3 linked regions of the Kluyveromyces lactis genome follow. The main gene of each other region encodes a partner of the protein of the gene in region 3 in a complex. Links are inferred from orthologs where the notes say so. Each region holds a gene or a part of one and is shown on either strand. Other genes may lie near its edges. The genes, in order: ISW2, DPB4 and KLLA0_B02090g.

Region 1 (4,258 bases), on a different chromosome or scaffold from region 3:
GTTACCGACAGTAACGAGTAAAAATATATCTTCTAATGAATTGTAAGTTCTTCTGGTATTGTTGGGAGGATATAATATTTTCAATTCTACTAAGGGATACTGATATTGCTGAAGCTTCTGCTTCAAAATTGTTTCCTGTATCTTTAGCTTTTCAGTCTTCTTTTCACCAGCTTCGATGTTTGCGACATACTTCTCCCATCCTTGGACTTCCTTGTAGCGTTTCCAAAACGTTTCAGAGTACCTCTGAACTTCCTCTGGCGTTTTCGTATGAATTGCTTTGGATATTGAAACATAATTGTCTCTACCAAATTTTATGCATGCACTGATGAAGGCTAAAAATTCACGTTTATTCCAATTATAGAAAGATTCTTCCAGGAATCTTTGCTTTTGTTCCAAATTTTCATCAGTGAATTCTTCAGCAGCGTCAATTTTTGCTTGCTCTTCAGCAATCTTAGCGTCAATATCATCTTCTTGTTTTTGTGCATTGTTAGTATCATCTGATTCTCCGTCCGATCTGGAATCCTCTTCGTCATCATCGTCACCCTCACTTTCATCTGCGTGTTCTTTAACATCATATGCGGTGATTTTGTATCCGACACTTTTCTTATACCAAAGTTGTTCTAGCTCCTGTAGCCGGACAAATTCTGGATGTGCAAACTGATAATAAGTCATACGAATAACTTTAGGTTGTTTTGGTAATTTCAGAGCTGGGGTGTTGCTTCCTGAAGGTTTGCTCTTTCCATTACCTATAACTTCTCTATAATAATCATCCACTGAATACAGAGGCTGTTCTCGTCTACGCTCTCTTTTAGGCGGATTGATCCAATCAACAGTATGATCATCTGGCTTCTTCTTCTCAAAATTTGTTCCATTCCATTCGTAAGCGGATTGATCAGCCATACCATTGAACTTTTGTAGGTCATCGAGACCAAGAGATTCATATTTTGCATTAAGTTCCAATGTCTTTCTCTCACCCTTTTTCAAAATTTCATCAATGTCTTCATCAACAGTTATATTACCAGAGCCATGCTGAAGCATATCTCTTGCTCCAAATTGTATCATATCAATTAGGTCATCTTTGTTGTTCGTCAGCGCCGAAGTCTTCTTTCCTGTACCCTGCTGAATTACCAACTGGTCTAATCTAAGTTTTTGAGCAGCCCTCTCTATCACTTTCTCTTCAATTGCATTTTCGGTGACGAATCTATACACAAACACCTGTTTTTTTTGACCAATCCTATGAGCACGATCCATGGCTTGTAAATCGGCCTGTGGATTCCAATCGGAATCATAGAGTACAACAGTATCGGCTGTCACTAAGTTAATACCCAATCCTCCAGCACGAGTAGTAAGTAAAAAAATAAATTTTTCCGAATTTGGTTTATTATACTCATCAATAGCTTCAACTCTTTCATCATGCGAAGTTGAGCCATCAATTCTGCAGTATTCATATCCCCTGAAATAACAGTAATCTTCTAAAATATCTAGCAACCGTGACATTTGTGAAAATATAAGGACTCTCGAGCCTTGTTCCTTTTTCTTTTTTAGCAATTTATCAAGTACAATCATTTTTCCCGAATTGAAGACTAAATGTTCATCTGTAGTATAAGGAGGGCCAGGTTCTGCTCCTTCGAAAAGGTATGGATGATTGCAACACTTTCTCAACTGCATAACAATATTTAATAATCTTGTTTTACCTTCTCGCTTACCGACGGCTCCATTTACGGCATCGATGTCTTTCTCCAATAGTGATTTGTACCATTCTATTTGCATGTCCGTCATCCCTACGTATAGATTAATCTCTTTCTTCGGAAGTAATGATTTTTCGACCTCAGATTTCACTCTTCTAAGTAAAAAAGGTTGTAAAACCGAATGAAGTTGCTGAACAACAACCTCTTGATCTTCTTCCTTTCCGTTTTGTTGGAACCATTCATCAAATACTTCTGAGTCACCAAAGACATCAGGTAGTAAGAAATTCAAAAGAGCCCAAAGTTCATGCAAATTGTTCTGTAGAGGTGTACCAGTGATTAAGAGACGATTTTTGGAGTAAAACAGTCTTATCACCTGTGACAAGGCGCTCTGTTCATTCTTAATTCGATGAGCTTCGTCGATTAGAATATATTCCCATGCAAATCTTTTAAGTGTTAACTTCTCTTTCAATACCATCTCATAAGAGGTAATTAGCACGTCAAAGTTACATGTTAAAATCTTAGTTTCAATGAGTTCTTTTCTGAAATCCTTGTCACCTTGAAGAATGACTGTTTTGACTTCAGGAGTCCATTTGGCAAACTCTCTTTGCCAGTTATCTAGTGTGGATTTAGGTACAATCACAATATATGGCCCCTCGATACCTTTAATATACCGAAGATAACCTAGGAACGATATTGATTGCAACGTTTTACCAAGTCCCATTTCATCAGCCAAAATCCCAGAAAGCTTGCTTTCATGTAGAGAAATCAACCAATTCAGACCGTAAACTTGATAATCTCTTAATTTCCCTTCCTTTATGAAACTCGGTGATTGTGTCAAAATTGTTGTATCCTCTTCTAACTCAACTTCCTCATCCTCCATCAATTCAGCATCTTCTTCTTGTTCTGTCTTTCTATAGTGCCTTGGAGCCCTAGCGAGATGACCGGCTGGCTCTTTCAACGTTCCAGCAACTTTGTTTTCAGCATCTATGGTCTTCAGTAATTTTTGCATGTTTTTATCATATTTGGCTCTGATCCCAATAAAGTGTCTGAAAAGATCAGTAATTTGCAAAAGGTGCTTGAAGCGAATATAAGTGTCTTCTTTATTCCTTTGTTTAGCTATTTTCGGATCAACATCAAGTAAGAACTTAGATCTTCTTTCGGACCAGTACTTCTCATCATGTTGATTATTGCTAACAGGATTCTCCATTTTTGTAGCAGATTTCTATGAGTATTTTTAGATAAAGGTGGTTAGTATCTTATGCAGAGGTCCGCCCAAGTGTGAAGTTGTTATGTGCTTCTAGTGATTACTGTCATCCTAATACGTTGATAAACTCAACGGGGAGAAGCACCGAAGTTCATGACAGATATTATCAGTAACCATTGAAGTACAGTTGAACATAAAGACATTTAGCATACCTCTTCCTCAACCATTGTAGGCAATGTTGATCGATGATGATAGGATGGCAACAGAGAATTCGATATCCATAGGTTTCTTAGTGGAGTGTGGATAGTCACAACTCATTATTTTTTGGAAATTTACATTTTTTCAAATCGCTAGGACAACAAACCGCGTGGAAAATGATGATAATACATGATCTCAGAACGGACATACCTCAGAGTAGTCTCATTGACTTTAAAGAACAAAGCGTGGCAGAATGTGATTAGCCTTGCATCTACCATTAGTACAAAGCGCAGAATAAGTAGAACATGACCATTTAATATTTACACGATTAAGTTGATATAGATATACATAACTTGTAAGATCACATATGTGATCAAGAACGATATCAAGCGCATACTGATTAAGTGGTTCAGCTGCCTTTTTTAGTACCGATTGTTGCTCTGAATTATACCACTTAGCGAGATTTGGTATGCTCTATAACATGTATTTAGGATTGTCTATTTGGATTTGTGCAACTTCTTCTTCGATTGTTACTCGTATTGGATGTCTGATCATGCTTTTCAGGTTGATTTGTCGATATTTTGGATGTGTTATTTCCACGCATAGATTTATCCGCTGATTTACTTTTGCGTTTACCATTAGATTGTATCGAAGAAGATTTTTTAAGGGAACCAGGCTTCGAAGATGGGATTCCGGTCTCCATTCCCATTAGCATCTCCGACGCCGCTTGTTGGGCTTGTATCCTTTGTGATTCTTCATTCCACCACTTCAAAAATTTTGCTTCCTCCAAAGCTTCCTGAATAGATTTTGTTGGTGTGGGTGTCGTTTCCTTAGCGACCCAGGATAAGTTACTCTTGGTAGAGGCATATAATGGCATAGTTTGCTTCGTACCGTCACCCGAAATTGCGACCATACCTGTTGGCTTTTTCCCGTTTTTCACAGCTTCATGCAACGTTGGAAATTTGGTCGAAGCTGGCTTTACACCTGAAAGATTTTTTACCTCCGAAGATACAGTCACTTTTGTTGATTGTTTGTTTGTTAACGGGGACTTCCTCATATGTTGGCCCCAAACTTTAGTCTTGTCTTCATTTGGCTTCTCCTGGAATTTGGCTTCCTCAGCCATCCGTTTAATTTTCTCTTTTTGAGTTTCCTTCTTTATTTTTATCTT
Region 2 (2,527 bases), on a different chromosome or scaffold from region 3:
CCGGGAAACAAAGTTACAAAGACGTCTATCGACCTTATAGAGGGGTATGATTGCTATTATACAACTGCAGAGAACAATAAAGTGCTCATTTGTTTTGTTAAAGAAGAAGTCCCCAAATTCCTACCGTTGAGGTTATTATCAGAACTAAAATGTTTGAATAATGACAACGATGAATATTTGAAGAGTAATATCGATAATCAATTGGACAAATTCCATGAAGAATTATTATCTTATCGCACGGAAGGACAGCAGACAGCTGCATCCACTGAGGAAGAGCTACAAAACATTATTGCAATAATGAATGATAATATCGATAAGTTTTTACAGAGACAGGAAAGGATATCCCTGCTTGTGGATAATACTAATCAATTGAACGAAAATAGTTTTAAATTTCAAAGGAAATCCTCTAAGATTATGAGAAAAATGTGGTGGAATAACGTTAAGTTTTATTCCATTGTCATTATAGTTGTACTGGCGATTATTGTGATTGTGTCGTTATTATTACTACATTAGTTCTATTTTTTTTAAGTATAGGTAACCCATGAGCACACGAAAACGGTATAATTGTTTATAGTACTTATACTTCTTGCCACCTCTTCTCCACAAATCGATTATACGATCATTCCGTCTTCTGTTTTTTTGTGCTTAAATCCAGGTCGTTCTGGCGCGTGCTAGGTACTTGTTCTTGGTTGACTGGAGGCCCATCTAATTTATCATTTTCAGCGTTACCTTGTTGAACCTCAGTATCAGCTCTGGATTTAGGCTCGGCGTCAGCATCTGCGCCTTCTCTGCCATCGTCATCTTCATCATCTTCATCATCTTCCATTGCTATGTCTCCGTCCGCACCAGGCACAGCATTATTGACTTTATTTTGCTTCTTCCAAAGTATGGCTTCCTGGTACTCCTGCATCTTTCCCGTGAGTATGCTCTCCAAAGCACCTAGCCCCAACGTATCTAAAGCAGCCATGATATCCTGATCATTACAACTCTTTCTATTAGAATCCTTTGCGTTCATTCTAGCAAACATTAATAAGTGATTGACAAAGACTGTCGCTGACCTCTGCATTGCCAATGCAGCATCCTTACTAACCGTGATTCTTCTCTCTTCTTCGCCCTTTTGAAACGCGTTCTGAAGTGATTCCTTCGCTAGAGATGTGATTATGCTTTTAGGAAATAGTAAATCATCAATACTGATCTTTTCTTGTTCTTTTATATAAGACGTATTAGGATAATTTCCTTCAGAATCCTTTCTCCAACCTTTTGGTGGCATACCCGCGCTTGTTTGCCTCTTAGAGTTTTGTGAATTCTTTCATTTGATGGTTCTTATTTTCTTGAATCATTAGTGGTAATAAATCTTAATGCAAACGCACAAATTTCACTATAAGCATAATGATATTACTTCCACCAAGAGAACAGTAATGAAAGCTAAAAAAAAGTAGATAGAAGTAGTAACAGCTAATAGTCTGCTTCGAACTAGTCATCATATCCTCGATTAATATCGATACTGAACCATGTGTACCATATGCATTTCGTCTTGAGGTACTTAATCGTACGTGCCAAATAAACAATAGAAAGATTAAATCACGTGACATAGATTCCCATACTTTTTACATCTTTACAGCCTAGTTTCCAACTTTTCAATTTTTTCAGTCATGGGCATCGCATCTCATCACATCTCTTCTCGCAGAAATCAACTTAAGATAAGATATATAGCTTGATCCTCAGGCCTAGTAAATAATCGCTGAGGTGTGTGTCAAAGGCCAAGTAAGCGTTTTCAGCTGGTTTGTTTTAGGAGGGAAAGCAAAACCATATAAAGAAAAGTAAGAATTTAAACTTGCAATATGCTCAGGGCTGCCTTTCAAAGTTTGAAGTCAAAATTTGGCAGAAAAGTAACGTTGGATAGCTCAACGATCGATGTTTCTCAGTTCAAGGTGGTGCAAGAGGGTGATGCTAAGATATTATTTCCTAACAAGGAAACTGTGTTCTATAATCCAATCCAGCAGTTCAATAGAGATTTGAGTGTCACTTGTATCAAAGCATGGGATGAACTGTATCAAGAGGAACAACGTGAAAGCCGTGAACTGAAGAGCAAGAACAAGAAAAGGAAACCCATAGAGAGCAATGAAGATGGTTCCGATTACGATACTATCAAAAGGCGTAAATTAAACGAAGATCAAGACTCTGTAGCTGTGTCTTCAAAAGATCATTCTACCAGGCCGTACATCAAAATTTTGGAAGCATTGAGTGCAACCGGGCTACGTGCTATAAGATATTCTAAGGAGGTTCCTAATGTGAAGACTATTGTAGCCAACGATTTACTACCAGAGGCAGTGGAATCCATAAAGAGAAATGTCATCTATAATGAGGTCTCGGATAAAGTTGTACCCAATTTGGATGATGCAAATGTGCTGATGTACAGAAACAAAAGCAAAAATGAGAAATACCATGTAATTGATTTGGATCCATATGGTACCGTTACTCCTTTCGTCGATGCATCAATGCAATCCATCGAAGATGGTGGATTGAT
Region 3 (4,149 bases):
GCAATCTTCTCTAACTCGCCTTCTATATCAGACTCATCTCTGTCGTCCACTGTATCATCTACACTTAATTCGTTATCCGCTATTTCCAAAGCCGCAATCTCTTTCAGTAACAATTCTCTTTTTTCAGTAACTTCGTCTTGAACTTGAGTCTTATATTGATTTAATGTCTCTATCACCGGCTCCATAACTGATTGCAACTGTTTCAGTGTTTCATGTTCTCGTTTTCCCCAGCTGTCCCACCAATTAGTCATCGAAATGAGTTGTTCAGGATCTTGCAAGAATATCCAGTCATTAGGAGTAAACAAAAGACCTTCCGGTGTCTCATCAATAATTTTTCTTTGAAGTGGCGAAAGTTCAATGAACGTATTGAAAACACCTTCTTCATTTATCAACATGATATCTCCCTCTTTATCGTAGTGGAAATAACAACCTTTCTCATCGCGATAAACATGGAAAACCTGTTTGGTGGCTTGAATTTTACCCAATTCGTTAGCTAAAGAAATCCATTGATTGTACTCTTCTTCCGTTATCTTGAAGTAGTATAGCACAGCTTCTTTGACAGGTCCTTGGATCCACAATCTATTGCTTAATAAGTGTGAAGCCTTCGAGAATATGTTCGGCCTAGGAACTCCGCAATATTCTAACCAGTAGATTTTGTTACCATATCTATCATATCCCAAGGGTTTTAGTCTTTGAAGATCAGCTTCAATCAACCTAGCATCAAAAAAGCTTTTCCTCCTTTGGAACCGTTCCAGTTGATCTGTTGCTTTTTTTAGGTTTTCTTTCAGTTCGATATTATCATTACTGCTCTCAGATTGTTGCAACTCAGAAACTGTAAATTGTTCTTTTAGTCCAGCAACAGTATTAGAACATGCTTTAAGATCCCTATTCAATCTAAACCTCTCACTTCTAATTTGGTTACAAAGTTCCATTGAATCATCCATTGCAGATCTTATTATTGATGAGTAGTTGCTCAATATTTCAACTAATATCCACATAATGTTAACTTTCTCCTCAACAGAAATATCTTTGCAAAACTTTCTCCATAAGTACCTATTCAAGGAAATATTTGACGGGGTGTGCTCAGACGGCACCAGATTTTTGATGAAGCCTTGAATTGTCGATTTATACATTGGTAAATGCATGAAGTCTTGGAGAACACCTAAGAGAACTATCAACCAGAAACCATTGTTAAATTGCCTCTTAGAAAGCCTGTCTGTCCATTTTACTTTTCGATAGTTTAAACACTTCTCTAATAACGATTCAAGATCAGCACTAACTTCGTCGTTTTCTTCCATCTCTAAATCTTCATTTTCACTCGAATTTTCGTCCGTGTCCTCCTCAAGCCACTCCGAAGGGACTAATGTCGTCCAATCCCCACTGGTGTCTATGAACAACCTTAACAGTGAACAAAAACACTCCACTATCAAGGAAGTACCTGTTATTTTCAACTCGTCCAAATAGTCATCATTTATCATAGTGTCCAAGGACAAGGTGAACTTCATTTTTTCTGAATTTGAAGAGTCAATATATTTATATATCGATTCATTCCAGATATTAATTCTTTCCACCTTAGTACCCGTACCGTCCTCATAACTAATCGTTACGTACTCGTCCATCATTTGGCGCGGATCAGTAAATCTCAAAGAATTTACAAAATCATCCCAACTAAATTCCGAAAGTTGAAGGGTCGCATTAAATGCCATTAAAAACTGATAACAATGAAGGAGTTTACCAATATCATGCGCAAATGGTTTATCGAGAGAATTTGAGATTGGCACATACTCCTTAGAGTATTTTAAAAGTGCATCGTTGATAGCTGAAGGCCTTGGTGCCATGAAAGGTATTTCCAAATCTTCAGTGATTTGCGTTATGCTTTGTTGATCGCCATTGGTTATTTGATTATTGTCGTTACTGGTATGGTCAACCGAAGGTGAGGATTCAGATATCAGTTCTTCAGTTTTTATTCTTTTCTGATCTGGTGTTTCTGTTCTAGCAATTTCAATTTCTCGTTTATGCTCACCAATGGCTGCCGAAGCTTCTCTTTCTCGATTAAGTTCCGCCATGTGTTGAAGTTGTTGCAAATACTGCGGATCTACGTAATCTTCCTTGTATTTTAGCATACTTTCTGGCCACGTTAAGGTTAAATTATAGATGGGCAAATATTCATCTTTCACACACCATGGGGCACCCATCTTAGTTGAAGCACGACGCAACGTTATCTTACAGAAACATTTAATCAAATGCTTAGTGAAACATGATCTATCACGATAAATCTGATCCTCATCGGCAACGATTGAAGTACTACCTTGTGCTTCCTGTAACATATATTTTGCATGGGCAGGAACCAATTCTTGCCTTGTATCTCTATCTATAACTGCATTAAACTGAGCCTTTTCTTTGATAATGTAAATTTTTTGATGCTGTGATCCATGTGAGTGCTGATGATGTTTTTCAGCATCGTCATGTGAGGAATCTTGCTTACTTTTCCGTAGGTATACCGTTTCTCCAGGGAAATAGTCGTTTTTAAATCTTGCATATACCTGTTCGACGAGCATATCTAGCCTTCTAATCTCGTTGAAATGGATGAATTTTGCAACAGGTTCACGTAATTTTAAAGGGAACATTTTCTCAACGTATTGGAACTGCTCTTCTTCACTGTTCAACGCTTCAAAAAAAGTTAAACATGATGTACCAGTGATCTCACAGGTGAAATAATGTCGCCTATAAAAATCCAATCGTTGCAAAAACTCTGCATAAGTCAAAAACCATTCCCCTGTCTCTTGAATGTACCATATTTTCCTATTGATATTTGACGGTAATGGCCTAGCATCTGGCAACGTTATCGTTTTCCTTTTATACAAAACCATTGCTCACACTGTGTATTCTATCCAAAAAATAAAAAGCTCAACAAGGAAACACACACCACTGAAGACTCTGTTATCCTAGCTTTCCTGCTTCAACTCAGTAAAAATTACACGCACACAGATTGGAAAGAATAAGAACAGTATGTGTTTTCTATGACCAAAAGATGTTGTCTCGTATCCACAACAATATAACTGGTGTAGAACGTACAGTTCTTGTTGTGAAATCCAAATCACCACACAAACGAACTAAAGATAAAAAACACAACAACTTTTAGGGAAACGAATGAAACAAACGACTTTTATTCGGAATCCAACCGTTGATTCATTGACCTTTGTTCTATCCTGTTCTGTTTGTGCATTTGATTGGATTTCGATTTCATTTTGATGTTCGAATTTCGATGAACGCTTTTTTTTCCATATGCCCTTGGGCCCTAGTTACTACGGCAGAGACATGTAGGAATATCTACAAAACTGACAGAATACCTTAAATTCTTAAAAATCAGATCACGTGCAGAATCACGTGATTAGATATCGACAAGGTTCAGATCATTTCTTTTTCTTACCCTGCATGAAAAATTGCATGAAGAAGCTCAACCATCTCATCTCATCTCATCGGTGAACATAAAAGATTCTAGTATCTTGAATTGAATCAAAAGGGTCACTTTAGGCCAGTTAGTTCGAATCACATTGCCTGAATACATCTTAAGACTCTCAAGCTTCAGCAATGGAACAATCGAATAAAGAACATAGGAAGCGGAAGGAGAAGGCTGGTGCCAAGAAGAAGTTACATTCTCAGGGCCACAATGCTAAGGCCTTTGCTGTCTCCGCTCCGGGGAAAATGGCTAAGCAGATGCAACGTACGGGTGATAAGAATGAGAAGAAGTTGCATGTTCCGATGGTGGATCGTACCCCAGATGATGATCCTCCTCCGATCATTATTGCTGTTGTTGGTCCTCCAGGTACCGGTAAGACTACTTTGATCAAATCGTTAGTGAGAAGGTTGACAAAGACCACTTTATCCGAAATTAACGGTCCTATTACTGTTGTTTCTGGTAAGCGTAGAAGGCTGACTTTTATCGAATGTCCTGCGGATGATTTGAATTCCATGATCGATATTTCAAAAGTGGCCGATTTGGTGCTTTTGATGATGGATGGTAATTTCGGGTTTGAAATGGAGACCATGGAATTCTTGAATTTGGCTCAACATCATGGTATGCCTCGTGTACTAGGTGTCGCTACACATTTGGATCTTTTCAAATCCCAGTCAACATTGCGTGCCTCT

What was found.
Region 1: KLLA0_B02090g (region 3) and ISW2 share a complex: the UniProt entries of both Saccharomyces cerevisiae proteins name them as parts of the ISW2 complex. The link is inferred for Kluyveromyces lactis from reciprocal best matches to the Saccharomyces cerevisiae genes ITC1 and ISW2.
Region 2: KLLA0_B02090g (region 3) and DPB4 share a complex: the UniProt entries of both Saccharomyces cerevisiae proteins name them as parts of the ISW2 complex. The link is inferred for Kluyveromyces lactis from reciprocal best matches to the Saccharomyces cerevisiae genes ITC1 and DPB4.

The regions. Positions count from the first base shown.
Region 1 is NC_006042.1:2,310,136-2,314,393, forward strand, and holds the start of ISW2 (DNA translocase), read right to left. Parts: upstream 2,896-4,258; coding exon 1-2,895. Other genes in the region: KLLA0_F24860g (uncharacterized protein), read right to left, coding at 3,578-4,258. UniProt on the Saccharomyces cerevisiae protein: Catalytic component of the ISW2 complex, which acts in remodeling the chromatin by catalyzing an ATP-dependent alteration in the structure of nucleosomal DNA.
Region 2 is NC_006042.1:1,797,557-1,800,083, reverse strand, and holds DPB4 (DNA polymerase epsilon noncatalytic subunit), read right to left. Parts: upstream 1,271-2,527; coding exon 620-1,270; downstream 1-619. Other genes in the region: NYV1 (Nyv1p), read left to right, coding at 1-513; TRM1 (tRNA (guanine26-N2)-dimethyltransferase), read left to right, coding at 1,842-2,527. UniProt on the Saccharomyces cerevisiae protein: As accessory component of the DNA polymerase epsilon (DNA polymerase II) participates in chromosomal DNA replication.
Region 3 is NC_006038.1:182,439-186,587, reverse strand, and holds the start of KLLA0_B02090g (uncharacterized protein), read right to left. Parts: upstream 2,871-4,149; coding exon 1-2,870. Other genes in the region: GTPase BMS1, read left to right, coding at 3,592-4,149. UniProt on the Saccharomyces cerevisiae protein: Functions as a component of the ISW2 complex, which acts in remodeling the chromatin by catalyzing an ATP-dependent alteration in the structure of nucleosomal DNA.